Linked DNA regions of Oryctolagus cuniculus. Each later gene encodes a partner of the first gene's protein in a complex. Links are inferred from orthologs where the notes say so. Each region holds a gene or a part of one and is shown in the gene's direction. Other genes may lie near its edges. The genes, in order: AHI1, TMEM107, B9D2, TMEM231, TCTN1 and MKS1.

Region 1 (4,924 bases):
GGAGATTAAGAGTCAATACTGGAGTCAGAGGATTGGTAAAGGAGGCCATGTCAAAAATTCCAATGGGAAGGGTGGAAGGCTGGCATTAGCAGTTCGGGTTGAGCTGGCTGGACCATACACTGGGATTGGCAGAAAGACAGAATGCACATTGGTGTAAGAAGGTGCCTACAGGCATCTTACTCAAACACTGGGAGGATGATGGCAGGCTGAAGAGATTAAAGCAACATAAAAAGCCAGGAGTAGGTTTGCTGGATAGGAAGGTAGACATTAGCCTATGGGAAAGGGCCCAAACAAGAAGTACATGTGGAAAGGAAGGGAGCAGCCTTAGAAGCAAGCCTTGGAAGGCACCCAGTGTTTCCAGAAAGTCCTATCCATATCTGACAACCTTGTAGGGGTTGCCAGCCTTCCCTCCGGAGATCTCTCAGGACACTCTTCCTGGCCCTTTGCCAAGGTGGCTCTTAAATCTGGCAATAAAACCTTGCGAGGAATTTCACGAACTTCACCCCCAAAAAACCATTTGCCCAGCAATATCTGCCCCCTCGCCCACTCCCCAAAAAGGGAGCGGGAAGGCGACACAGCAGAAAGGGACCCCTAACTCACAGTAACCCCAGTCTGCATGTAGGCAATGCACTTGGTTTCTTTGGCGAGCCGAGCTGCCCACCATCTCGGATGAACTACCTCGTGAAACTTGGCTAGCTTGCTTACCGCTACTGTCTCCCACCTGAAATTCTTTTCTTACAGGATACACAAAATTCTTCCAGCCAGTTTTGGAGGGAAAAGTAGCACAGTTTGGTAATATTTCTTTCTCATCGCCTCCTCAGAGGTTCTGGAGAAACACTTGCCATCATTTATAAGATGCAGTGATGCCAGTGAGAATGGAGAAGCTGGCAACCAGAGAAATACACAAACTCTCTGGCCCTACAAATGAGGCAACAGGTTTCTGGTGCGTGGCTGCCAACTGCAGAAAACGGCCTCTCACTAAGCGTGGACGAGTAAGGCGTCTGGTGTTTTTCCATCCCTGGTGACTCAGAACCAAAGATGGCGCCTGTGGCAGAAATCTGCAAGGTGGGAGGGGGTCATCAGGTGTAGAAAGATGACGTTTTAATTTCTGTTCTACTTTCAAGGCAACTCAGCGCCAGACAAATCGTGGATAAGTTTTCCCGAAGACTCTGGAGTACAACTCCTCATTCTCCACGCTCTCAACGCGCGTTTCACTTTGTGGGGGCGACCACGTGGGGTGCGACAAGTCTGTTTCTTGGCTTCCTCGCTTCATTCATTCAAGGTTCCTATCTTGGGCGGCTTCCAAGACCGCCTCCCCGCCTGCTTTTGCCCCACTTTTTCCCGCGCTTGCTTTTTTCCGGACGGAGGCCAAGCTCCGGCGGCTCTGAGGCGGCACCCGCGCATTCCCGCCTCCCCTCTGCTGGCCTGGGGATGAGATTCCTGCCCCTTCTAGAACCGCGGAGGCGCGGCCCCGGGGCGCGCGCCCGGCGGCAGGCTGAGGGGCGCGGGCAGACAGGCACTGCAGCAACTCCGGGCCCGCGGCGGAGGCGGAGAGAGCCTGGGGGCGGGGCCGCGGGAAGGGCGCTCCCGCAGGGCCCCCGTCCAGGCCTGGAGCCGGGCCGCATTGGTTGTCATGGGAACGGCGGCGTAGGCCGGCGCTGACGTCACCGGCGGCGCGCTGCCCGCACTGCGGCACCGAGCCCGCTCTCAGAGCCGGTGTTGCTGGCGGCTCCCGAGGCTGCGTAGGCTCCTCGCCCTCCCTGCTTGGGGCTGGGAGCCGCTTCGCGCCGCCCGGGGTGTAGGCTTGTGCGGGAGACGCGGCTCTGCGCTCTGGGTGAGTATCGTGTGGGTGCGCTGGTGGCGGGAGCCCGGACCCGGGTGTTCGGCCTACCTACCCCGGCCCCTCTGGAGGGGTGGCGGCGTTGGGGGCTCCCTCTGCGCCTCCGCAGGCCGAGCGGCCCAGAGCGGCCCAGCGCGGCCCGGGAAGGGGGCGACTTCTCCGGCGTCGGAGCGTCCGGCGTGCTGTTCCGATGCTGCCTCTCCCAGCCCGGATTCTGGCTCAGATGCGTAATAAGCGTGTTTATTTCCTTATAGAGTGTCAACCTGGCGCTGAATGTTGAACCTGTGAAGTGCCTTCTTAATGACACCCAGAAAAGGTGACGGATACGTTACGTTTCTAAGAAAAGAGTCAAATTCTGTTAGAGGCGTTTTGATAAACACAGAAAGGGGATGAGAGCCTTCCCGAGTGTCAGCGCGGCGTGTCAGCCTTAACCGGGAAAGTGGAGACAGGGCTTGCTCTTCTTTGGAGAGAGAGATGCTAACAGTTCCTTCACCTGTTGCGTTTACGCTCGCTGTTATTGCGAGCAAGAGCGCCAGTTAGGAGGATTCCGGGACGTGTTTAAAAGTCTCTTTGGAAGAATTGCAGATGCCACAGGTGTCTGAAACCGCATTTAGGATCTTTATGAAGGCGATTGTTGATTTACTAAGGGTTCTGATTTCTGTTCCTCCTTGGTACAGGTTTGGAGCCGGAGTGAATTCTGCGAGCCTGTCTGCTTCTCCCTCCCCCTTGATCTGTAGTCACATATTGGCTGCTGATCAGGTGGTCAGGGAGAAAGACGAAACGTAATCTCGGCTAAATTTTGCTACGCAGTATCTCTTAGAAGCTTTTGTGAAAGGGTTTGTGAGGGAGAAATGTTAACATCACGGGGTATATGAGATTTGGGAATATGTTTCCAAGTCAGACTTTAAATTTTGAAGCTGTTACTAATCAAATATTAATCATTAATTCTTCTAATGTGTTTGCTGTACATACTAAATAACATTTAGAGATGATGACTTGTAATGTTCTGTTATTAAATAGTATCTCTTATTTCAGTGGTCATTAAAATATTAAATGATAGTAAATGTAAATACAAAATTTACTTAATTGTGTATTGTGTAATTATTTTTAAAATAATTGTAGACATCGAGCACCTGCAGTTTACTGATTATGTTGTTTTCTGATATTTCTTTTTCTCCTTATGATTAAAATAGGGGCCACTTTAGTTTCCTAGACAAGGAAGAAACCAAGGCTTAATGAAACTGGCTTACCCAAGGCCACATGAAGTAGCATGACAGGAGCTCAAGCCTGAGTTTTTCCTATCTGGAGCCATAATTGCTGCCTTTTAAAAATGGAGATACTTATATAAAGATAGTGCAGGCTTGTTCTTCCAAAAGCCAGTAGTTGGGGGAGGGGGTTGCGGGATAGAGGGAGCAGCCAGTTTAGAACCATTTGTGCCAGGGTGAAAAGGGAAGTTGGAAGATCCAGCTGTGCTTTGGGGGAAGGTGCTCCCCAGGGAAGGTGCCATTTGCATTTAGTGTCAGAGTGTCAAAGCAGGGCAGGCTTTTCTCAGGAGAGAAGTGGGTATGTGACCTGCTACAAAGGCAGGAGAGAGTTTGGCGTTGGTCAGGCCCTGCAAGTAGTTTCACGTGGCTGGAGCCCAGAAGCTGTGTGAAGGTGTGGCGGTGAAGGGGCTGTGAGGAATGGCAAAGGATCCAGTCATTAATAGTCGTCTTCTCAGTGGTAAGGACTTGCCAGTGCTTTCCACCAGTCGATTGGGAACTGGTGAGGAATTTTAAAGCAATCACACACCACCATCACCTTTGTGTTTTAGAAAATGATCCTGAATGCAGTGCAGAGGGGTGGAGGGGAGGGTGGTCATGAGAAGCCTGAAAACAGTCTCAAGCAGACATCAAAATCCTAACAGTCTTTTCACCCCTGAAAGCTACTGCCTCATACTATTGCATCTCGAGTGGGAAGAAGACAGTTGGAAGCAAAATTCTAGAAAGAATTGCCTGCGTACCTTTACCGCAGGTCTTGCCTTTCATTCCTCAACCTGTGGCTCCCAGCTGCTGCCCCTCCATAAACAGCTTTGGCACACGTGACTTCATGATTACAGATCCAGCGGGCACTCCCAAAGTGTGCAGCAACTGTAGACACCACACAGCATAGACCTTTCTGAAAACTCTTTCCTTCTGTGATACTTTTCTGTCCCTGTGTTTCACCTACCTCCTCGTTCTAGAATTCAATCTTTGGCTTTTTATTTTCTTGCAACCATTGTACAAATATCTATAAATTATTCCCAAACCATCAGCCTAGGTCTCCTGCTGGATTAATGGATTAATATATTATTTTGCCTCCCAAACATAATATGATTATATGTCCTTTGTGTTCTCTCTCATATATATGTATATATCACACAGTAGTAAAGCAGCTCTCTCTTGAAGCATGTACCATGCAGTAGGCTTTGTGCCAACAGTTTTCCTTGCATATACTCATTTAATCTTTACAAAAACCCAGTGAATGATATTATTATTCTCTTTTGAAAGATGAGGAAATTGAGGTCCTTGTCAAATGGAGCTGGAATTTGAACCAAGGACCTGACGGTGGAATTGATGTTTGTAGCTACTTGGTGTCCTTCAGATACACAGCTCAAACTGCCCCACACAATCCCCTTAGGAAGTTCCTGTTAAAATTGTAGCTCATATTTGTTGGTCCTTGTTCTAAAGTACTGTTTAAATCATTTAGTCCTTTTAACAACCCTTTGAATAGGCAGGCTGGTTTTAAGGTTTAGGAGATCCATGGTCCACAGGCATACAAGTAACCATGGAGACTAATTCTAGAACTTAGGTTTCAGCCAGTTTACCACACTGCGCTATAATACAGCCAGTAATATTGCTGTCCTTATTCTGCTTTATACACATAGGAATATTTCTTGATTATTTCTCCTGCCTCTTTATTAGCTACCTAATTTTTTTTTAAGTGTCATAAATTTTCGGCTCAAAACAGGTTGTACCTAGTACATCCAAGCCTTTTTTTTTTATGACTTATAATTCAGTAGTGTTCTTGTATATTGAAGGACCATAGAATAGTACAGAAATGAAG
Region 2 (5,178 bases), on another chromosome or scaffold:
TAAAACCAGGGCATATCCAAAAGTTCATGGAAAATGGAACTAAAAGATACTTTGATACAAAAAAAATGGAATCCAGGGATAGTTTGTTTTACTATGCAATTTGCATAAACTGGTTTGGCATACTTTCGTGTATCTCATAAAGGTATAGAAATCATAATACATGAAGAACACTTGTAACTCAACAGTGAAAAGACAAACAATCCAATTAAACAAACAAACAAACAAAAAAAAAAAGAAGAAGAAGAAGAAGTTAAAGGGCCAGCTCTGTGGCACAGTGGGTTAAAGGCCCAGCCTGCAGCACTGGCAAACCATATGGGCGCCAGTTCAAGTCCTGACTCCACTTCTAATCCAGCTCCTTGCTAATGCACCTGGGAAAGCAGCGGAAGATGGCCCAAGTGCTTGGACCCATCACCCACAAGGGACACCTGGATGGAGTTCCCGGCTCCTGGTTTCGGCCTGGCCCAGCCCTGGCTGTTGTGGCCATCTGGGGGAGTTAACGAGTGGATGCAAGATCTTTCTCTGCCTCTTCCTCTCTGTAACTCCACTTTTCAAATAAAATAAATGCATCTTTTAAAAAAAGGTAGAATGAGAAGCTCGTGTGCGGCGGCGGTGTCGGCAGCGGCTGCAAAGAGAAGAGTTTGGCGCGATGTCTCATACCATTTTGCTGGTACAGCCTACCAAGAGGCCAGAAGGCAGAACTTATGCTGACTATGAATCTGTGAATGAATGCATGGAAGGTATTTGTAAAATGTATGAGGAACATCTGAAAAGAATGAATCCCAACAGTCCGTCTATCACATACGATATCAGTCAGTTGTTTGATTTTATTGATGATCTGGCAGACCTCAGCTGCCTTGTTTACCGGGCTGATACCCAGACATACCAGCCTTATAACAAAGACTGGATCAAAGAGAAGATCTATGTGCTCCTCCGCCGGCAGGCCCAACAGGCGGGAAAATAATGGAGTGGAAGCAGTAGGGGGATGGGGGTGGGCTTGGAACACAGGTGTGTACAGCGTGCTGTAGTGGGAGTTTTGTATTATAGTGATCCTGTTTCCACTTGGTACACTCTAGCCAGATTGAATGTATCAGATGAAGTGTGAGAATGTTGTTCAATCTGAAACCCCCATTGCCCCTTTTTTCTTTTCTTTTTCTTCCCTTTTTTTTTTTTTTTACTTAAACATTTTTATGAGGATTTAGATGGAATTTTTTTGTCAGTTAATGTTGGTTCCAGAGCTTCAGACTGTTGAGATCTGCTTTATAACAGTCACTGTACTAACCCTTAGAGATGGGGTGGGGGGTGGCTCAGTTTAGTTACATCCTCAAGGCAAACTCTTAGTGGAAAATAAATGTTCTTTAGTTATAAAAAAAAAAAAAGGTAGATTGAAATACACAAAAGATGTTAAAATCTATGTGGTCACCATGCTACTAAAAAGATCTAGTTGTGTTTGTAGGACACTACTGAACCGGGATTCTGAAAACTGGCAAATAATGGAAAAAAAAAAAAAGGACCCATTTATCCTGCCTTTCCTGTATGACTCGTATCTCATGGAAAATTCTTACTGATAAAAGAATTCTAGCTGGTAGATGCAGAAGAGGGCTCGAATTAGGCCATCCCCATTTTGCAATCGCTATTGAAATCATGCAGTTAGGCAATGAGGACCCGTGGTACCATTAGGTGAGAATGGATGAAGAATTTTATCACGGGTGGCTCAGCCTGACCGCACCCGAAGCCACCACTCAGACTTCAGCACCACAGACAGACAGACACACAGACAAGCAGGATTCCTGATGAGGTGAACAGAAAGTACAAACCATCCCTCGGGATGTGATCTTACCAGAAAACTGAATGACACATAGATCAACCATTAGACCTGACCATCAGTTTGCAGGAAACACAGTGCCAGGAGAGAATGAAATGACGCCACACGTGGCCCAGTATCTTCAGCAAGAAAAGAAGGAAGGTGAGGTGATGGGGAGGAGGGCAAACCCAAGATTAACAGAGATTTCAGACATGTCAGCCAAGTGGACTTTATTTGTACCCCAATGCACACGTGTGGGGTTGTGGTGGAGGGGAGGGGGCAACAAAGCTGACCACGTGCTGACAACTGTTGAGGCAGAGCAGTGGCCCTCCCAGGGGTTTGTTATACTGTTTCATTTTTACGTTGTGTTTGAAATTTCCTAGGATGCCAAAAAATGAAAAGTTTGCAAGTTCTTTTGTCACCAATTCAAATGCTGAGATACCGAATCCAGCCCTGGAGTGAGTGGCCACCTACGGGAGGACAGCTGGTCACCCGCAGCACAGCCCATGGCCACCAGCAGGCTCTAAAACCCAGGCAAGAAACGACTTTCTCTGAGGCAAGTTTCTATAAACCAAGGTTGTGGACAAGGACAAAGCAGACATAGGCTGCCCACTCCCTGTTCATGAGTCCACACCTAAGGACCTGAGAACTCGGTTTGTACTGTCTAGCCCGTCTCCTAGGCAGAACGCCTACTGAGCAGAATGCTCCAAACCTCCAGCTGTTGAACGCAAAATCCTTGGGTCACCTTGACTCTCCCTTTTCCTCACCCACCCACAGGCCCCGAGCCAGACCCTCTCCCCAATCCTTCTGCTTTGCTCCATCGTCTTTGCTTCACCCTGTCCTTTCTGGATACTTCTATGGCTTCCTCGTTAGTCTCTCCATATTGCAACCTGGGTCGTGGAGAATACGAATCTGACCACGTCGCGCCTGGTGGCTGCAAGGCCTGCCGCGACCACGCTCCACCTCCTTTTGGGCTGCCTACCACTAGGCTTTGCAGTGCAGGCTGACTTGAAGGCTGGGGTTACTCTCCTCAGAAGCGGGGAGGGAAGCCCCTTGGGTGTGCGCAAGCAGCAGGGGTCTTCCTGGAGCCCGTGCGGCCGGTACCTCGGAGACCCCGGAACCAGAGCTGAGCCTTGCGTCCCAGGCAGCTCCAAACCTCCTGTGCGGGACGCTTCGTCCACGCTCGCCCTGTCCAGTCCCGGCGGGGCCGTCCCTAGGCTGAGGCTGCCACCATCTTCTGCACTATGCAAATCCCTCACCGAACCCGGCAAAGATGTCTGGGGTGCTCCGACCACCAAGGGCTCCGTGACAACGGGCCTGCCGGACAAGGTAGGTCCAGTGAACGTTCCACGTTGGGCTCAGGGCACAAGGAAGCTACGAGGACGGAAAGGGAAGACCGCGTCTGAGCCTCCAACCTAAGACCGGCACGCCGGCCGCAGCAGTCCGCGAGCACCTCCTCCGCGGACAGGCCATTCCCGGCAATGCAGCCTGGGGCCGCGCCGCTCCGGACCTGAGCAGCCAGCGAACCCCCGGACGTAGTCCTCCGGTTAGGAGGCTGGCGGCCGCAGCGGGGTCCCCGAACACGGCGCACTTGCACGACGGCGGCTCGAGAATTTACGGCTCTCGCGAGATCTTCAGAACCCGAGGCGCACGGTCCGCGTACGCAGTTACCAAGGCAACGGGGCGGCCCCTGAGGCGCGCGAAGGCCGCGGGCCGGGAGAGGTTTCCCAGCGCCGCCGCCCGCGGCCCTGAGGAGCATGAGCCGGATCTCGGGGCTCGTGCCCTCCCGCTTCCTGACGCTGCTGGCGCATCTGGTGGTCGTCATCACCTTATTCTGGTCGCGGGTAAGACCCACGGCCGCCACTCCGCGTCGCCATCTCGCCGTGGTCGCCGCGCCCACCCCGCCCGGGGTCTCAGCCGGCCTCTCTCACTTCCTTTCCTTTTCTGCCCGCTCCCCAGGACAGCAACGTCCAGGCCTGCCTGCCCCTCCGATTCACCCCCGAGGAGTATGAGAAGCAGGACGTGCAGTGAGCTCTTGGGGGGGTGGGGGTTCGAAGGAAGAGGCGGTGGGAGTCCCGGAGGCCGGGGGTCCTGAGCCGCTCCCCTTCCTCTCTGCAGGCTGGTGGCCGCCCTCTCGGTCACCCTGGGCCTCTTTGCCGTGGAGCTGGCCGGCTTCCTCTCAGGAGTGTCCATGTTCAACAGCACCCAGAGCCTCATCTGTATCCTTTCTGCCCCCACGACCCGTTTCCAGCGCGACTCCCTTCAGCGACCCCCTTCCCCCCAGGAGCCCCGCCTCTGCTTAGGCAGTGCAGGGATTTGACACAATCCTCAAACAGTTGTGGATGCCGCTGTGCACCGGGCCCTGGAGGTAAATGGGGGTGAGGCGGAGGCAGACACACACACACACACACACACACCCCACTATCCTCTAGGAGGGGGTAAAAGAGCCAAGGATTGAGGGAGGCGCTTGACTCTCCAGTTGCGGGCCTCCTGGTGGAGAGTGATTCCAGCAGAGAGGATCAAGTCGCTGTCCGCATTCCTGTGGGGTCCATGGGGGCCTGCTCTGACCTCCCCTCGGGGGTGCAGGCTGGCCCCTCCATGTGGGGTGAGGGTAGCCTGGGGTCTCGGCAGTGCAGGCTCAGCGCAGGCCGCTACACGTGGGCCTGTTAAAATCAGAAGGCAGGGCTGCTGACTCCCGCCGTCGCACAAGGCCTGGGAGCTCCACCACTGGCCTGCCATAGCCCGTCGCTGTTGTGGCCCCAAGACTTTCCTTGACTCCTGTGTGTCGCCCACAAGCCATCGCAGCGCACTGTAGTGCATCTGTAGCCCTGTCGTTCTTCATATTCGAGCGCTGGGAGTGCACCACGTACTGGTACATTTTTGTGTTCTGCAGGTGCGGTTAGCACCCAGTCTTGGGGGGTGGGGAGGAAGGCTCGCCCCATCCAGCTCTTCCCTGAATGTTTGAGACACCAAGACCACATCCTGTGGTCCTTTGAAGTCCCCCCTCCAATCCCACCCTCTACACTTCGGGGCTGGGATGTCTGGTTTGGAGATTCGGGTATTTATGTTGGAAGGGGGCCTGACCCCACCACCTGCCTTCCACAGCGCCCTCCCAGCTGTCACTGAAGTGGCATTATTCATCGCCGTCTTTGGGCTGAAAAAGAAACCCTTCTGATCATCCTCACTGCAAGAACGTGGAGAACAGGGCTGGGGGAGCCAGAAGCTCCCGTTCCTGGCAGGACAGCGTCGCCGCGCCCCGGAAACTGCTTCTGGTGGAGGATGTCGGTGTTGGGATAATTGTCTGGGATAGCGTTTTAGTCAGTGCTTTGTAATAAATAAAATCTATTTTATAATAAGATCAAAATTTATACAATTTT
Region 3 (3,762 bases), on another chromosome or scaffold:
AATGTTCATGGAATAATTAACCAAGTGACTTCCTTCTCAGAGCCTGTTTCTGTACTTGGAAAATGGTAATCATAGCACACATAGCTTCTAGGGTCACTTAATTGTCCCAAAAAATATGTATCGACCACCTTCTGTATACCACGCACTGGGGATCCCGCCATGTGCATGGGCCAAGCTCTCCTGAAGCTCATTCTACGAGCGTCAGACACTATATAAGCCGCTGAAGAAACTTAACTCAGTGATTTCCAGTGGCGACAGTGCTGGGGAGAGAGAGAGGCAATGGCTATAGAGGGCGGGTGTTTAGCTCGGGGTTAGGACCTGCACATCCCGCCGCACACCTGGCTGCTGGCTTAGCTCCCTGCTAATGCCAGCCCTGGCAGGCAGCAGGGATGGCCTAAGTGACTGGGTTCCTCCCGCTTACGTAGGAGACATGGGTTGTGTTCCCAGCTCCCAGCTTCAGGGTGGCCCGGTCCCGGCTGTTCCAGGCGTTTCAGGGAGTAAACCTGTGCGTGGGAGCTCTCTGTTTATCGCTCTACCTCTCAAATACTAGATACAAATATTTTTAAAAGGAAAAGAAATGGGTGCTGGGATAGTTTTGGATAGGACAGTCAGAGAGAGCCGCAATGAAAAGGAGGCGCCTCAGCTGAGCCCAGAAGATGAGCAAAAAGCCGGGAATGGGGCCTTCTGGGAGCAGAACTTTCCAAACAGGGAAGTCAGTGCAAAGGCCCTGAGGTAGGGGGACAGACATACAGAAATGGGACCAGTGAGGCCCACGGGTGGTGTGGGAGGGGACTGTGCGGGCAGTGAGTTCAGAAAGGGGGGCAGGTGCCAGGCCATGCGGTGCCCTGTGGGCCACGCAGGAGAGTCTGCCGTGGGGGAGGTAGGAGTCCTGCCGGGCAGCAGAAGGCACTGCCCAAGCACTTAGCCCAGTGTATCCCTTGGTGCATTTTCCCACGGTTATCTGGCCCCACAAGAGGGACTGGGTGCCCATGAGTCCATCTCAGTCCTCGGGGACCCCCAGGGGGGAGAGATGGTAGTAAAGTGAGATTGAACTGGCACCCACACTCACAGACTTCTGAGGAATGTGTCTTGTTTGCCCCTTTCACAGATGGGGAGATTGAGGCAGAGAATGGTAACTTGCCCCGGGTTGTACAAGTAGGAAGAGGTAGTGGCAGGATTTGAAGGTCAACATTTGCTCCAGAGTCCACACTTTGTAACCCCTACCCACAAACGCCAGGGAGAAGCCACAATGGCATCTCCTGCCCACTTGTCTCTGTCCTGGCTCTCACCACAGGGGCAGCATGGAAGCTCCTGTCAGGTGTGCGGGAGGGCCAAACGCAGGTGGACACCCCCCAGGTAGGGGACATGGCCTACTGGTCCCACCCCATCGACCTGCACTTCGCCACCAAAGGTCTCCAAGGTAGGTTCCAGGCCTTAGCCCGGGGTGTGCTGAGGGGAGGCGGCCAGTAGCCCCAAAGCTGCTGGGACTGGAACAAGCCTTGTGGGTCCCTTTCCTAGCCACGCCTGGCCCTGCAGAGGCTGAGCTGACCCTCCCCAGGCCGGCTCTGTTGGGGACCCCAGGCTGGGGGCCTGAGGTGGAGGCCAGGGAAGGTGGGTTCCCAGGAACAGGGAAGCAGCCTTCCTTAAAGAGAGAAACCAGGTCTTCAATAAGGGGGAAGCTGGGAGGGCCTCTGTGAATTAGAGACAGGGAGGCCAGGGCTGGCCGCTGTGCTTCAGCAAGGCTCCTCCCTTGAACGAGTGCTGCTCACGGGGAAACCAGCAGAGTGGAGGAGAGGAGTGGCATCAGAAAACCTGGTGGAAAGTGCGGGCCACAGGGTGGGCACCTGGCTCTGAGGTTTGGGTGCTGCTTGGGATACCTGCACCCCACATCCAGTCGTGGGTTTGAGTGCCAGTGCTACTTCTTTTTTTCTTTTCTTTCTTTTTTTTTTTTTTTTTAAGATTTATTTATTTAAAAGGCAGAGTTACAGAGAGGCAGAGGAAGAGAGAGAGAGAGAGAGGTCTTCCATCCACTGGTTCACTCCCCAGATGGCCACAACAGCCAGAGCTGCACCGATCCAAAGCCAGGAGCCAGGAGCTTCTTCCAGGTCTCCCACTCGGGTGCAAGGGCCCAAGCACTTGGGCCATCTTCCACTGCTTTCCCAGGCCACAGCAGAGAGCTGGATCGGAAGTGGTGCAGGACTCAACCAGCGCCCATATGGGATACTGGCACTGCAGGCAGCGGCTTTACCCACTGTGCCACTGCGCCAGCCCCCAGCTCTACTTCTGGTCCAGCTTCCTGCTGGTGTGCACCCTGGAGAGCACCAGGTAATGGCCACTCGCATGGGAGACCCCTATTGAGATCCAAGCTCCTGGTTTTGTTCTGGCCCAGCCCACGCTGTTGCTGGCATCTGAGGAGTGAACCCTTGGGTGGGCGATCCCTCTCTGTGTTTCCTTCTCTGTGTCAGGGGCCCTGGAGTGTGCCATTCCAGCACTATGTAACCGGCATCTCCTGAGAGCCCGCTCTGTGCCTGTTGCTGTCCTCAGACGGCTGACCATGCCATGTGGGTGGCACAGCCCAGGGTGGGCAAGGCAACCTGCAACCTCCTCCCACAGGAGGAGCCCCACCTTGTCAGTGCGATCAGAGAGGGCTTCCTGGAGGGGACATTGCAACTTTGCCGTGAAAAGCTGGTAGGCGCTAATAAGGCAGCAGGATGTAAGAGGGCTGGGTGTGGAAGGCTCAAAGGGCATTTTGTGGACTAAGGGAGAGTGAGAGGGTGGCGGGGTGGGGGTGGGGGGCGCGGGTGACAGCCCCAGGAGCTGAGGCACGTTTTACGTTTAAAGGATCTTTTTGGGGCTGGCATTTAACCTAGCAGCTAAGACGCCGGCATTCCATACAGCGCCGGGGCTTGATACCAGCTCCAGTTCCCGGCTCCGACTTCCTGCTAAGGCGCACTCTGGGAGGCTAGCAGGAGAGGCCCAGACTGCGTTCCCAGCCTTCTGTCCAGCCTAGGCAAGGCCCAGTCTGAGCCATTTTGTGGGCACTGGGGAGTGAAGGATGAGAGCACTCTGTGTGGTATCTTTGCTCAATAGTAAAGATTTTTTTTTTTTTTTTTTTTTTTGGACAGGCAGAGTTAGTGAGAGAGAGAGAGAGAGAGAAAGGTCTTCCTTCCATTGGTTCACCCCCCAAATGGCCACTATGGCTAGTGCGCCGATCCGAAGGCAGGAGCCAGGTGCTTCTCATGATCTCCCATGGGGTGCAGGGCCCAAGCACTTGGGCCATCCTCCACTGCCCTCCCGGGCCACAGCAGAGCAACCGGGACAGAATCCGGCGCCCCAACCGGGACTAGAACCCTGGGTGCCGGCGCCGCAGATGGAGGATTAGCCAAGTGAGCCATGGCACCGGCTGGTAGTAAAGACATTTAAAAAGGAGAGGGGGGGGGGGGGAGGGGAGAGCGCCTCCTGGCTGCCATGTGGGTGATGGAGGGTAAGGCAGGCAGCTGTCCTTTCAACTCTTTGGCTTCCAGTCCCCGGTGCTGGCATCATCTTTGTTTTCTTTCTTTTCAAAAAATATTTATTTTATTTGAAAGGCAGAGCAACAGAGAAGAGAAAGAGAAAGAGATCTTTCCTCTGCTGGTTCACTCCTCAAATGGCCCAACAGCCCAGGCTGGGCCAGCCAGAGGAGCCAGTAGCCCAGAACTCCCTCTGGGTCTCCCACGGGGGTGGCAGCACTTGGACCACTCTCGCTGTTTCCCCTGGCACAGG
Region 4 (4,927 bases), on another chromosome or scaffold:
CGTCTCTCTCTCTCATGGTCTGTAACTCTGTCAGATAAATAAATAAAAAAACCTTAAAAAAAAAAAAAAGAACTATATGAGCACCCCTTTCCCACTAAAGCTTTCAAGCAATGGTGAGGAGAGGGTTGGTCTATCATTATTATGACTCATGACATTAATTATCAGCTTGGACTGCAGTGAGGACCCTGGAATGGTTGTCCTCACTGGGCAGGGCTCGATCCCTTTCTGTTGGCCTCTGCTGGCAGCCTCTAAGCTGTTCTCTTTCTGGGAAAGCCACTTCTAGGCTGCTTTCAAAATAGTGCATCAACTACTGCTGCTAAGCACAAACCTTCACACTGATTTTTTTTAAGATTTATTTTATTTATTTGAAAGGCAGAGTTACAGAAAGGTAGAAGCAGAAAGAGAGAGAGGTCCTCCATCCACAGGTCCACTCCCCAGATGGCTACAACGGCCAGAGCTGCCTCAGTGTGAAGCCAGGAGCCTCCTCCGGGTCTCCTATGTGGGTGCAGGGGCCCAAGGACCTGGGCCATCCTCCAGTGCCTTCCCAGGCCATAGCAGAGAGCTGGAACCGAAGCAGACAGTCAGAAATCGAACTGGCACCCATATGGGGTGCTGGCCCTGCAGGCGGTGGCTTTACCCACTACACCACAGCACCGGCCCCCACACTGACTCCTGATCCTGCAACTGGAGTCTTCAGGGCCTTTGGATGGAGAACTTGGCTGTGGACCATTGGTTTTATTATTTATTTTTCTTTTTTTTTGTTGTTTGCTTACTTTTTTTTTTCTTTTCCTTTCTTTTGGATCATAGGTTTTAAAAATCCTTCCACCCTGTTCAAAATACTGGCTTGGCAGAGAAGGCGGTGGGCAATCAATTAGCAATAAACCAATGTTATCTTTGGGAAGTACGACTTAACCCACTGGGGCAGCACTGTGGTGCAGCGGGTTAAGCCACCATCTGCAGGGCCAGCATCCCTTGTGGGTGCCAACTGAGTCCTGGCTGCTCCACTTCCAATCCACTTTCCACCTGGGAGAGCAGCAGAGGAGGGGCCAAGTGCTTGGGCCCCTGCACCCCAGTGGGAGACCCAGTTGAAGCTCCTGGCTCCTGTTTTTGGCCTGGCCCAGTCCTGGCTGCTGCGGCCATTTGGGGAGTGAACCAGCGGATGGACGATCTCTCTCCCCTTCTCCCTGTAACTCTTTCAAATAAATTATTAAACCTTAAAAAAAAAAAAAAAAGGCTTAACCCACTGCACAACACGTCCCAGAGGGGAGTGCCAAGTCCCAGCTGGTCGGCTTCCACTCCAGCTTCCTGCTCGGGCATCCTGGGAGGCAGATGATGATGGCCCAGATATTCAGGCCCCTGCCCTTAAGTGGGAAACCCAGAGGGAGTTCCTGGCTCCTCGGGCCATTTGGGGGAGCGAACCAGCAGTTGAAAGATCTCTGCCTCCCTCTGTCACTCTTTCAAATAAATATTTTTAAAAAGAAATGTATCTTGTTTAGTAGCTCCCTCTGAAACCGGCAGCCGAACCTGCACCCAATACAGGTAACAATGTACGTAGTAATGACCCTGCCCGCCCCAGAGCCGAGGGTTTGGGTCCTGTGCGCTGTCCTGCTTCCGGAGCCACAGAACACAGAGGCGGAGCAACCCGGCCTTGGCCTTCGTCCAGGACCAGGTCGAGGAGCGAGGCCACGCGTGTGCGACCTGCGGGCATCAGCGTGGACCACTCAGCCGTCCTCAGCCGTCCCGAAGCAAAACACGCAACGCCCCCCTCTCGGTGGCCCGTCCACTGGCTGACCACGCCCCTCTCCAGGTAGCTCCGCCCCTTCTAGAGGCCCGCGCCGCTACTATTGGTCCTCCTCCCGGCGCCGCCGGTTGCCGTGGAGACCACGACGATGGCAGCCGGGAACAGCCAAACTTGGTCGTCCCTTCTCGGTTTGCGTAGGGGTCTCGGCGTGCGCCGTCCATGGCGCTGTACCAGCTCTACTCCCACCCGGCCGAGCGCGGCTACCGCGCGGGGCTCTGCTCCAAGGCAGCGCTGTTCCTGCTCCTGGCCGCCGCGCTCACCTACATCCCGCCGCTGCTGGTGGCCTTCCGGAGCCACGGTGAGCTTGCTAGGCCGGTGCGCGCCACCGCCTCCGCTCGGGACGGCCTGCCTGACCTGTCCCCCTCTCCCTCTCACGCCCTTCTTCTCTCAGGGTTTTGGCTGAAGCGGAGCAGCTACGAGGAGCAGCCGACCGTGCGCTTCCAACACCAGGTACTGCTCGTGGCCCTGCTGGGACCGGAGCGCGACGGCTTCCTGGCCTGGAGCACCTTCCCCGCCTTCAACCGGCTGCAGGGGGATCGCCTGCGCGTCCCGCTCGTCTCGGTGCGTGGCTCCCGCCTGGAATTCCGCTTCCCCCAGACGCCCAGGTACCCGGGCAGCGCTGCGTGCTGACCCGGGCCGGGCACGGTGCGCGCTCGGGGTCCCGCGGTGTCGCCGCGTTCACGCGGCGCGGCGGAAGCTGGGGGTCGGGGGCGGGCGTCTCCGGGCAGGACTGACCCTCGGAGACCGGGCGCCCCGCACCTGTTCCCCGGCAGGGCCCCGGCGGAGGGAGCCTGCCCCACGTGATCTCAGAGGCTGCTCCAGCGTGCATCTGTCCGGGGTAAAATTGAGACTTTTTCTTTAAGAGGGCCGAAACTTCTAGTTTTCCTTCTTCCACGTCCTTGAGGTGAGTGGCCTACAAGACAAACTCGTGTAAAAAATGTTCCCAGCAAAAAGATGATAGGTCGTATGAATAACTAGAAAGTTTGTTACAGATAGTTTTTCTCTGGTTACTTCTGAAATTTATTGGCTTTTTTTTTTTTTTAAGATTTATTATGTATTTGAAAATGAGAGTTGCACAGAGAAAGGAGAGGCAAAGCGAGAGAGAGAGAGGTCTTCCTGATGGTTCACTCCCCAGTTGGCCGCAACGGCCAGAGCTGCACCGATCCAAAGCCAGGAGCCAGGAGGTTCTTCCAGGTCTCCCAAGTGGGTGCAGGGGCCCAAGCACTTGGACCATCTTCTACTGCTTTCCCAGGCCACAGCAGAGAGCTGGATCGGAAGTGGAGCAGCCGAGTCTCAAACCTGCACCCATAAGGGATACCGGTGCTTCAGGCCAGGGCGTTAACCCGCTGCGCCACAGTGCCAGCCCCTATTGACTTATTTTAATTAGGAAAGTACCCAGTTTCCCACGTCGGTGTCAGGGGCCCAGGTACTTGGGCCGTCTTCTGCTGCTTTCCCAGGAACAGTGGCAGGAAGCAGGATTGGAAGTGGAGCCGCCAAGACTTGAACCGGTGCCCATAGGGGATGCTGGCGCTGCAGGCAGAGGTCAAACCCACTGTGCCACAGCACTAGCCCCAGGTTTTTTCTCCACATGTTTATATTCCTCTCTATCATGTGCTTCTGGTCATTTGAGTCTAAGAAATACCATGCAGGCTTGAGATAATTGTGAAGACAAGGATAAACCATTAAGTTTCATTCATTCATTGTTTTTACGGGTTCGTGCAACACAGCTGCTGTTGGCCTCTTAGCTCTGCAACCAGAAACCAACCACTCCCTTCAGTGCACCGCCCTGGTCCCCCCTTGCATCTGGCGTGCAGTTCCAATTTTAATGAGAAGCCAAAACTAACTCTTAATGTTTATGGTACCCATACCATGAGATCACTTTCATACTGGGTAATTTTGGGGCTGGCACTGTGGTACAGCGGGTTAAAGCCCTGGCATTCCATATGGTCACTGGTTCGAATCCTGGCTGCCCCACTTCCGATCCAGCTCCCTGCTAATGTGCCTGGGAAAGCAGTGGAGGATGGCCCGGTGCTTGCGGCCCTGTATCCATGTGGGAGACCTGGAATAAGCTTCTGGTTCCTGGCTTCAGCATGTCCGAGCCCTGGCCATCGTGCCATTTGGGGAGTGTACCACCGAATGGAATTTTTTTTTTTTTTTTTTTTTTTGACAGGCAGAGTGGACAGTGAGAGAGAGAGACAGAGAGAAAGGTCTTCCTTTGCCGTTGGTTCACCCTCCAATGGCCGCCGCGGCCGGCGCGCTGCGGCCGGCACACCGCGCTGATCCGATGGCAGGAGCCAGGAGCCAGGTGCTTCTCCTGGTCTCCCATGGGGTGCAGGGCCCAAGCACCTGGGCCATCCTCCACTGCACTCCCTGGCCACAGCAGAGGGCTGGCCTGGAAGAGGGGCAACCGGGACAGAATCCGGCGCCCCGACCGGGACTAGAACCCGGTGTGCCGGCGCCGCTAGGCGGAGGATTAGCCTAGTGAGCCGCGGCGCCGGCCTCGAATGGAATATTTTCTTCCCCTACCCCCTACAGCCAGTGCGCCACAATGCTAGCCCTGGTTCTTAATTCTTTTTTTTTTTTTTTTTTTTAGATTTATTTATTTATTTGAAAGTCAGAGTTACACAGAGAGAAAAGGAAAGGCAGAGAGAGAGAGAGGTCTTCCATCGCTGGTTCCTTCCTCAATTGGGCACGACAGTGAGAGCTGCACCAGTCCAAAGCCAGGAGCCAGGAGCTTCTGCCAGGTCTGCCACACAGGTGCAGGGGCCCAAGGACTTGGGCCATCTTCTACTGCTTTCCCAGGCCACCGCAGAGAGCTGGATTGGAAGTGGAGCAACTGGGACTCGAACCAGCACCTGGGATGCCGACCCTGCAGACGGTAGCTTTACCTGCTATGCCGCAGCACTGGCCCCTAGACTCTCAACCTTTGTTACAGCAAAATACTTTTATTTTCTGACTCTGAACATAAAGCCCGACTGGCTTCAAGCTGTCTGCGAAACTGTCTAGGAAGCTACAGAAACAGCGGTCCTCAGTCAAGGTTGAACCAAGTGCGGGGAGGCATCTTGGTGACTGCTAATTTGGGAAAATGCCTCGGAAGTCACAAACAGCCTGGGTTCTGCTTTGGTC
Region 5 (4,392 bases), on another chromosome or scaffold:
ATGAGAAGTATTGTAGCAGCATTGGCCTTGGTTGTCCCTGTTTGCTGTTGCCCACAATCCCACCACTAGGTGATTTTGGTTGTATCTTTCATGAGGGTTTCTTAGTGAATGTGTATGTCTGAATATATATAAGTGTGTGTATTTGTACAAAGTGGACTCAGAGTGTGCACACTGTTCTTTAGCAGGCTTGTCTCTGTGGAGGCTTGGTTCAAGTTTTATTACTTTAACTCATTCCCCTGTGTTGTAGAGAATCTTTCAAGTCCACATCTTTGCTCAGCAGGTCCCTATCACGATCCAGTCCATTGTCATCCAGTCTCTAAACAAAACACTCACCCGACTAGCAGCCCCAGAGGTGCTGCCACCGTCTCTGATCACTGCTGGGCATGCCACAGTCTGCACGAACGTCGTCCTTGAGGTAGGTGCCCAGTCTGGCTTCGGAAGCTCCATCTGTCTGGCAGAGTCCTCTGCAGGTAACGGAATGCCGGGACACCTGCAAAGAGGTCTGGTTCCTCCCGCAGTGTTGCTTCTCCTGGCCTCCTGTGCGCCATCACACTTGTCTCCAAGGGACAAGTACACTTGCAGGAATGCATCAGGACATTGTTGTCTTTGGTTTAACGCATGTCCCCTGTGGAGCTGGGTTAATTCTGCACGGACCAGGTGGTTTGGAACTTAGTTACAGAAGCTGGGCACACAGGGGCTTTGGTGCCCCCCCCCCCCCCCCGGCTGGGGAGACGCGGAGGGAACCTCTCTCGCATTCCTCAGTGAAAAGCTGCAGCTAGTGGTGAGGCGGAAAGGCTTTGCTGCTCCGCGTACAGCAGCTGAGCTGTCGTGGGAACAGGTGTGTTTGCAGTCTGATTTTGTTTGTAGGTAAAGTACCGGCTCACGTACACAGACGCCGGTGAAGTCACAGACGCCGATCTCTTTCTCCTCCTGGGGACAGTCAGCAGTGCGGTGGCTCCACTGCAGCAAAAGTTCGAGATCGACTTCATTCAGGTAAGGCGGGTCATTTTGTACAAGTCTAATTGCCGAGTTAAGAAGTCATGCGTTCTTCCTGAGAAAAACTCAATTTAGCAGTATCACCCCATCTCACCCTCTGCACTGAACAAAAGGTTTGCGTGTGGCAGGTGGAGTTGGTAATGGAACCGGGGTAGTCTTTGTGCCGTTCCCACTTGGAAATGCGATTGCTTTCCACGCTAGCTTGTTCTTTTACAGCCTGGGGCACTCCCACACCAGTAGTATATTTATAATTCTGAGTAGGGGGAGACATTCTTTTATTGGCAGGAGATTCCAGATTTTGTGGGGAGAAGCATCTCATTTTCTTCCTGCTGTTCCCTCATTGAAATGGGAATTCTTGGGGGGCACTTCTGCCTTGTTTTTCAGCACAGCACGAAGCCGGTTCCTCTCAGTGGCAACCCTGGTTACGTTGTGGGGCTCCCGTTAGTTGCTGGATTTCAGCCTCAGAAGGGATATCCTTTGTGGTTCTGTAGAGAAGGTTGGCTCCCTGCCAGCCTGCTTCCAGGGAGGAGAGACCAGTGTCGGCCAGAGCACGCTCCCGGAGGCTCTGGCGGGGGTGGGACTGGCTGCAGAGCCATCGGGGTGAGACGGCATGGGTGGGGAAAATGTCAGTGTTTGGAAACAAAAATCTTAAGACAGAAAAGTTGACATTCATTTAGTTGGGTTTAATTAATTAAAATAATTAATTTTAATACTTAAACAGAATCTCCTGCACGGATGTAGTCATTTTGAAAATTTGGAATTAATGTTGAAGAGCCAATTTTCTGAAGCCTTTTTTCCTGAGGATTTATGAATCAAGGAAGATGGCTAGAACTTAGAATCCCAGGGGTCCAGGGAGGTTGGCTTTGGGTCTCACTCGTGTCTCACATCACAGAGGTGATGCCATCTCCTGACCTGAGATTCGGGCTGCTCTAGCACTAGGCGGCTATGCCTTAACTGTCGGCGAATATCTGGAATCATCCAGACCACAAATAGGTACGGACAACTTACCATTCTTCGTAGCACAACTGAGCAAGACTGCTTAGCCCTGGAGGGCGTCCGAGCCCCGGTGTTGTTTGGTCACGACATGCAGTCTGGCTGTAAACTGAGGTAAGGAGCCACTGTGCCTGTCCAGGTGTGTGTATGCCAACCACAAGGAGAGCCTTCCAGCCTGTCCACTTTAGTCCAGCCTCTGCCTCGGCTGCTGAGCTCCTGAACGCTGGCCTTGCTGATGGGTGGTGGCAGAACTGTGCAGGTGTGGCAGATGAGCATGGCAAGCCTGCATGCTTCCTGTTGACTTCCAGCCACGACGTTGCCCCCGGAAGTCCTACTCAAGGACACTTCAGAAGGCTTATGGAGAAATCGAATGAAAAGATAAGTTTATTTTGGTGCAAAAAATGTGAAATTCATGTGTAATTTTTTCAACATAATGCATTTCCTGTGAACTTTTTGAAGAGTCTTCATATGTATGGATTTCAAACTTTTTTTTTGGCACCAAAGTAAACTTTTAATTTCATTTTCCATGAACTTTTTGGAGTGCCTTCTTATTTCTGAATTTTGATATTTGCATGCACAGCATGAGGAAACCAGTGAGAGGAACCCCAAATGTGATCCATGTGTTTTTATTGTCATTTTGTCTACTGTGTATATACTGTAAAATGTCATATAGCTCTGGGTGGCTCATTATAAAGCCAGCAGTTCAAACCTCAGAGACTACCATTCCAACTTATGTAGCCGAGTTTCTTTGGGAATCCAACCCCAATCTTGAAATAACCACTTCTTGATATTTTTTTTTTAATTTTTTTTCCTTGGTGGATTTCCACTATGGAAGAAGATTTGGCTCTTGCCACATACTTTCCACTTCTCCCCAGGTTAATACTATCATGATTTTGGCTAGAGCAGTCTAACATTTGCATTTTTAGTTTTGATCTCTTTAGGCCAGCATTCCGTGGAATACGTTTCTACAAGATGTCAGCAGGCATGGTCTGTAGTCCAGTATGTTTGGGGACACCAAATCAAAGTGAAAACCACAGCTGCTTCCTCTGGGAAGGCTTAGAGCCGTAGAAGCTGTGTGCTTCAAGGAGAGACGGGGTCTCCTAAACTTTTGGCTGTGGAACCATTCTAGTAGTTTCGGGAACCCAGTTTGAGAAACATCTGGACTCATCTCCTTGGCTAAGATTTCACGAAGTTTGAGCCACCTTGGCTTCTGCCAAAGAGTCCCCCTTTTGCAGAGCTAAGAGCGAAGCTGAGGGGCATGGCTGCCGTTGAGGCCCCTAGCAGCAGCTTCTAGGGGACAGCGGCCCTCTTTGTTGACCTCTTTTCTCTTCCCTAGACTGACCAGAGCCCTCCCATGTCGGCTCTTGGCGCCAATAGTGAAGAGCCTGCTGGTGGGCCAGGGCTTTCCAGATTACGTGGCTCCCTTTGGAAATACCCGTGCCCAGGATGTGCTGGACTGGGTGCCCGTCCACTTTGTCACCCAGTCATCCAACATGAAGGTAAAGGGGGGCCGGCGCCGCAGCTCACTAGGCTAATCCTCCGCCTAGCGGCGCCGGCACACTGGGTTCTAGTCTCGGTTGGGGCGCCGGATTCTGTCCCGGTTGCCCCTCTTCCAGGCCAGCTCTCTGCTGTGGCCAGGGAGTGCAGTGGAGGATGGCCCAAGTGCTTGGGCCTTGCACCCCATGGGAGACCAGGAAAAGCACCTGGCTCCTGGCTCCTGCCATCGGATCAGCGCGGTGCGCCGGCCGCAGCGCGCCGGCCGCGGCGGCCATTGGAGGGTGAACCAACGGCAAAGGAAGACCTTTCTCTCTGTCTCTCTCTCTCACTGTCCACTCTGCCTGTCAAAAAAAAAATTTAAAAAAAAAAGGGGGGGGGCAGTTGAAGGCCACAGGCCGGTAGTCTCTCCCTCTCCTGGGCCGGGTGGTGGGGCCCCGCAGGGAGTGAGGTGGGCAAGTCTGGGTAGGAGCCTGGGTGCTGTGAGCAGACTGGCCTGGATCTGTAATACTGAGTTTGCCGCATGAGCAGTGTTGCCTGTGGCCAGCAGTTTGGAGGTCGGAACCTCTTTCCTGTGCAGTGGGAATGACAGTCACAGTACAGACCTGGCCCTTGTCGGGAGGGGGAGCTCGTTTGGTCCCTGGCACAGCAGCTAGTGTTCCTTTCCTAAATGGGGCTGCTGCTGGCCATCCTGGTGGTACGGGTCGGCCATTCCTAACCTGGACTTTGAGTGCTGATGTAATGCCACAAGTGAGAAATCCCACACCTTGTGATGGGCTGCAGGTGCAGGGCAGGTGTTTGGCCTAGCAGGTAAGATGCTGGTTAGGATTCCTATAGTCTGTATTAGAGCGCCTGGGTTCAAGTCCCGTGTATGGCTCCCGATGCTAGCTTCCTCCTGATCCAGACCCT
Region 6 (4,392 bases), on another chromosome or scaffold:
TAACATTCTTGGGTCCCCTGCCCTCCATTGGTTTAAATCTATGAGAATTAATTATGGAGCTATGTCAGATAATATCAGCTCTCTAGGACTGATTTGGTAGTAGTTCTAGGATCAGAATTTTGAGGTATCTCGGATGTCTGTTTCCTTGTGGCGACCTCAGTTTGAAGTAGATCTGTACCAGAATGAAGCAGCCTGTCAGAGCCCTTTGGATTACCAGTACCGGCAAGAGATCCTGAAGCTGGAGCAGTCGGGGGGCAGGAAGAACCGACGAATCTTTACCTACACCGACTCTGACCGCTACACCAATTTGGAGGAGGTATTGTTCTTCCCAAGGCCCTGTAGCTTCCTTCTTTGCCTCCCCTGGCTTTTTGGCTTCACTGGGTTCTGGGTGCTAAATCGGAAGCCTGGCAAGGGAGGAGATCCATAGGCTGTCTGGAAACTGCCGTGAGCTGCTGGCAGCCAAGCTGAGGCAGAGTGGGCAGAGTGCAGGTGGTGTGGCTGCTGCTCCCGTCTCCGCCTGCTGGAGGGCCAGGAGGGGCGTGCAGCGTCTCGGAGGCCAGACTTGCAGGGTGCAAACCCACAGAAGCAACCCCTTGACTGCCTCCAGGCATCGTGGGTGGAATCTGGGACAATCTAGATAAAATTCTACAGGGACCTCAGCCACAGCTCTGAGTGTACGTGTTTGAAGAGGCTTCAGAGAGCCGCGAGGGGAATGTGGTCTCCTGCAGCTGCCTCTGCCATACCCTTGTGGACTTGTTCTGTTTTCTTCTGTCACTGCATAAGCTCTAGCTTCTCAGTGAGATCTTTCAACTCCGGGAGGGTGCAGCCTACATTCTGTGGTTTCAGTCTCTAACCCTGCAGCTCTGCAAGGGGCAGGTGTTAAATGAGTGTTTTGCAAGGTTGGAAGGCTTCTGTTAAGAGAGATGTGGGTTGGTAGCATATAATATTCAGGTTGTCTGTTTTGGCAAAGCAAATAAAAATGCAGGTAGAGCTCAGTGACCCACGTCAGGATTTTCCACAGAATGTCTGTATCCCATTTGGTGTTTTCCAGCAACCTGGTTAACTTCAACATCTACTGGGCAGACTGACCCAGCTTTTTGTTTGTAGGTGCTCAACGAATGCAGACCGACTTTAAATCAGAATAAACAGCTCATTTCTAGAATTCGGGGGGAAGGGAATGGGCATTTGGTTTAGTGATTCGGATGTCCATTCTCCATATCAGAGAGCCTGGGTTCGATACCCAAGTCGTGCTCCTGACTCCAGCTTCCTGCTGTCGTGCACCCTAAGACTCGAGTAACTGGGTTCCTGCTGCCCACGTGGGAGACCTGGATGGAATTCCTGGCTCCCAGTCCAGCCACTGTGGGTGTTTGGAGAGTGAACCAGTGGATGGGAGCTCTCCCTCCCTGTCAAATAAATAAAAAATTAAAGGAATTCTTCAATTCTAGGGCAGACCGAGACACGGCAGGAGTCCTCTCTGGATTGTTTGTGCCACACTCCCCCATTGACGCGTGTAATTGTGAGGTGGTTATACCCAGGTTCAGGCTCCTGAAGAGGTTTCACAAGGAAGATGAGCACGCAGACACTCGGGCCCCTGTGGCCCTGACCAGCTGGCTTCCACGGGGTTGCTCTCTTTCCCCAGCACTGTCAGAAGATGACCACTGCGGCCAGCGAGGTGCCGTCATTCTTGGTCGAACGAATGGCAAACGTCAGGCGGCGGCGGCAGGACAGGCGAGGGACGTGAGTGCAAGCACCCGGGGACAAAGGGTGCTGGGTGGTCCTTCCGTGCCACTGTGCACAGTGTGTCCGGTGACTCGGGCTGCCCAGTGTGCTTCCCTGGGTTCCCCTGTCAGGCTCTGCAGGGGGTGCTGGGGAAGTGACCCTTCCGACGGTGTCTCCCAGGGAGGGCGGCATCCTCAAGTCACGCATTGTCACCTGGGAGCCCTCGGAAGACTTCGTCCAGAACAACCACGTCATTAACACCCCTCTTCAGACGATGTACATCATGGCCGACCTGGGGCCCTACGGCAAGTGAGTGCAGCGGCTCACTGCCCAGCCCCCACCCGCCTCATCCCTTGTCGCGGACCATCGGCTTCCTGGCACAGTCTTCTGGCTCTCGGGAGGGAAGGGCTTTGTCTTCTTAGTAGAAGAAGCCTCGTCCTCTTCCCCGGAGCAGGCCGACGACCTGTGCCTCTTTTCCTGGAGGGGACCGGTGACTTGGTGTTGACTTCCTGGTTCCTAGGCTTGGCTATAAGAAGCATGAACACGTCCTGTGTACTCTGAAGGTGGACAGCAATGGCGTGATCACAGTGAAGCCGGACTTCACTGGCCTCAAAGGACCCTACAGGTGAGGAGAGGAAGGGAGGGGCAGTGGCAACTGGCGTTCCTGCCTTTGGCTTCTCTTCCTGCTCCTGATCCCCGACGTTCTCAGAAACTCTGCATGTGCGCCAGCTTTGCAGTCCCCAGGCAGCAGCTCATACTTTGTTCCGGTCCCTGGCACTTCGTGTGCAGCTGCACCACTTTGAAAGCCACCCCTCCAGCAGGGTGGTTGCTGACGTGAAGACGCTCCTGCACGCTGCGGAGTGTAGGGACCGGAGCAGGGCAGGTGAATGCAGCCAGCTCTCTTCCTCTGGGCTGTCGTAGGTAATAGTTGTTACGTTAGAAGTTGTCTGGGCCGGCGCCGCGGCCCACTTGGCTAATCCTCAGCCTGCGGCACTGGCACCCTGGGTTCTAGTCCCAGTCGGGGCACCAGATTCTGTCCCGGTTGCCCCTCTTCCAGGCCAGCTCTCTGCTGTGGCCTGGGAAGGCAGTGGAGGATGGCCCAAGTGCTTGGGCCCTGCACCCCATGGGAGACCAGGAGAAGCACCTGGCTCCTGGCTTCGGATCGGCACAGCACACCGGCCGTAGCGGCCACTTGGGGGGTGAACCAATGGCAAAGGAAGACCTTTCTCTCTGTCTCTCTCTCTCTCACTAACTCTGCCTGTCAAAAAAAAAAAAAAAAAAAAAAAAAAAGATGTCTGGACCAATCTCTCCACCTTTTAGGTGAGAGAACTGGGAGCCAGGGTTGTGCCTTTGGGCTGCACTGTGACTTGGAGGCCGAAATGGGCCTGAAATTCCCTCGTCTGTGGTCCTTTCTGCTTTGCCACTTGGTTTCCCTCTCCAGACTGTCATTAATGGCCGTTTCCATCATACGTGCGTCAAGTGAGACGTGTGGCCAGGGACGGCCTGTCTGGAGGGCCTCCTCTCTTACCATCAGAGTGGGTCCTTTTGTGGTTTTGACCTCACAGAATCGAGACAGAGGGGGAGAAGCAGGAGCTGTGGAAGTACACAATCGACAACGTGTCTTCCCTCGCACAGCCGGAAGAGGAGGAGCGGGAACAGCGTGTCTTCAAGGATGTAAGAGCTACTTCACTGCTGGTGCCGACGTCGGGGGGTGGGGGGTGGGCTGCGCCCTTCGTGGCCCATGTGCCCCCAGGCAGCTCTGCTGTGCTGTCACCGCGGACCCTTGGGGGCGTCCTGTGACGTAGCAGCCGTCCCAGTGGCTGTCTTTGAGCATTCCCCAGGCACTTCATATCCCATTTTTCAATGAGGGCTCACAGCAGACCAGCTGAGGTGAACACCTTTATAGTTACCATTTTTTGTAAGTGAGTAACCGAGACTGCAGAGCTAAGGATCTGCCCAAGGCCAGCGAACTTGCAAGTATGAGAGCCAGGGTTTGTCCCAGACCAGCTGGCTCCAGAGCCTCTGTCGGTGCTGGGATGCGAAGGCCTCCAGTCCTCAGTTGCCACTCCTGCTATTGCTGCTTTTCTCCTGCCCGTCCAGAACTGAACCCTGGTCTGGCTGGGGCCGCATCCTGAGGTTCGGTTTGGTGTGGTTTGGCTCCTCAGCTTTACGGCCGGCACAAGGAGTACCTGAGCAGCCTCGTGGGCACCGACTTTGAGATGGTGAGTAGCTGGGCCTCCTGCAGCTCGGTGGGCCGTGTGCGGCCGGAGCGTTCTGACTGTCAGTGAGGAATTGTGCCTCTTGGAAAGTCTCCAGGACAGAGTCTTCAGAGTAGAACGGGTGTCGCAGAAGAGCACGCGGGCCACAGTGCTTGTGCTGGTGTAGCCATGTTGGTGCACCGGAAAGGCCCTCCGCGGAGGCTTTCTCTGGGGAGGGTGGCCTGCCAGGTAGTGCATGGGCGTGGGTGACTTCCACTTTTTATTCCCTAAACTTGGGCAATTTTGAGTTTTTACTCAGTGGTAATGCATTCATGTGATACTTTAATTTCAAAAACAAATATACAGATAAAAATGTCTTCCTCAACTTTAATGTGAGTATTTTCCTGAGTTAGCTTATAGAGAAGGGAGATATTTTGACTCTTTTTTAAAGAAATTTATTTATTTATGTTGCATA

The links.
Region 2: AHI1 (region 1) and TMEM107 share a complex: the UniProt entries of both Homo sapiens proteins name them as parts of the tectonic-like complex. The link is inferred for Oryctolagus cuniculus from reciprocal best matches to the Homo sapiens genes AHI1 and TMEM107.
Region 3: AHI1 (region 1) and B9D2 share a complex: the UniProt entries of both Homo sapiens proteins name them as parts of the tectonic-like complex. The link is inferred for Oryctolagus cuniculus from reciprocal best matches to the Homo sapiens genes AHI1 and B9D2.
Region 4: AHI1 (region 1) and TMEM231 share a complex: the UniProt entries of both Homo sapiens proteins name them as parts of the tectonic-like complex. The link is inferred for Oryctolagus cuniculus from reciprocal best matches to the Homo sapiens genes AHI1 and TMEM231.
Region 5: AHI1 (region 1) and TCTN1 share a complex: the UniProt entries of both Homo sapiens proteins name them as parts of the tectonic-like complex. The link is inferred for Oryctolagus cuniculus from reciprocal best matches to the Homo sapiens genes AHI1 and TCTN1.
Region 6: AHI1 (region 1) and MKS1 share a complex: the UniProt entries of both Homo sapiens proteins name them as parts of the tectonic-like complex. The link is inferred for Oryctolagus cuniculus from reciprocal best matches to the Homo sapiens genes AHI1 and MKS1.

Annotation. Positions count from the first base shown.
Region 1 is NC_091436.1:33,406,458-33,411,381, forward strand, and holds the start of AHI1 (jouberin), read left to right. Parts: upstream 1-1,695; 5' UTR 1,696-1,834; intron 1,835-2,094; 5' UTR 2,095-2,156; intron 2,157-4,924. UniProt on the Homo sapiens protein: Involved in vesicle trafficking and required for ciliogenesis, formation of primary non-motile cilium, and recruitment of RAB8A to the basal body of primary cilium.
Region 2 is NC_091448.1:52,666,590-52,671,767, reverse strand, and holds the start of TMEM107 (transmembrane protein 107), read left to right. Parts: upstream 1-1,738; 5' UTR 1,739-1,963; intron 1,964-2,184; 5' UTR 2,185-3,558; coding exon 3,559-3,645; intron 3,646-3,760; coding exon 3,761-3,823; coding exon of another isoform or gene 3,824-3,828; intron 3,829-3,919; coding exon 3,920-4,020; intron 4,021-4,589; coding exon 4,590-4,694; intron 4,695-4,906; coding exon 4,907-4,976; 3' UTR 4,977-5,178. UniProt on the Homo sapiens protein: Plays a role in cilia formation and embryonic patterning. Requires for normal Sonic hedgehog (Shh) signaling in the neural tube and acts in combination with GLI2 and GLI3 to pattern ventral and intermediate neuronal cell types.
Region 3 is NC_091449.1:13,272,478-13,276,239, forward strand, and holds part of B9D2 (B9 domain-containing protein 2), read left to right. Parts: intron 1-1,294; coding exon 1,295-1,420; intron 1,421-3,762. UniProt on the Homo sapiens protein: Component of the tectonic-like complex, a complex localized at the transition zone of primary cilia and acting as a barrier that prevents diffusion of transmembrane proteins between the cilia and plasma membranes.
Region 4 is NC_091449.1:57,934,530-57,939,456, reverse strand, and holds the start of TMEM231 (transmembrane protein 231), read left to right. Parts: upstream 1-1,857; 5' UTR 1,858-1,960; coding exon 1,961-2,099; intron 2,100-2,192; coding exon 2,193-2,362; intron 2,363-4,927. UniProt on the Homo sapiens protein: Transmembrane component of the tectonic-like complex, a complex localized at the transition zone of primary cilia and acting as a barrier that prevents diffusion of transmembrane proteins between the cilia and plasma membranes.
Region 5 is NC_091452.1:8,297,261-8,301,652, forward strand, and holds part of TCTN1 (tectonic-1), read left to right. Parts: intron 1-277; coding exon 278-415; intron 416-867; coding exon 868-993; intron 994-1,380; coding exon 1,381-1,466; intron 1,467-1,962; coding exon 1,963-2,103; intron 2,104-3,325; coding exon 3,326-3,488; intron 3,489-4,392. UniProt on the Homo sapiens protein: Component of the tectonic-like complex, a complex localized at the transition zone of primary cilia and acting as a barrier that prevents diffusion of transmembrane proteins between the cilia and plasma membranes.
Region 6 is NC_091448.1:33,639,771-33,644,162, reverse strand, and holds part of MKS1 (tectonic-like complex member MKS1), read left to right. Parts: intron 1-160; coding exon 161-316; intron 317-1,639; coding exon 1,640-1,737; intron 1,738-1,899; coding exon 1,900-2,028; intron 2,029-2,239; coding exon 2,240-2,344; intron 2,345-3,284; coding exon 3,285-3,393; intron 3,394-3,884; coding exon 3,885-3,941; intron 3,942-4,392. UniProt on the Homo sapiens protein: Component of the tectonic-like complex, a complex localized at the transition zone of primary cilia and acting as a barrier that prevents diffusion of transmembrane proteins between the cilia and plasma membranes.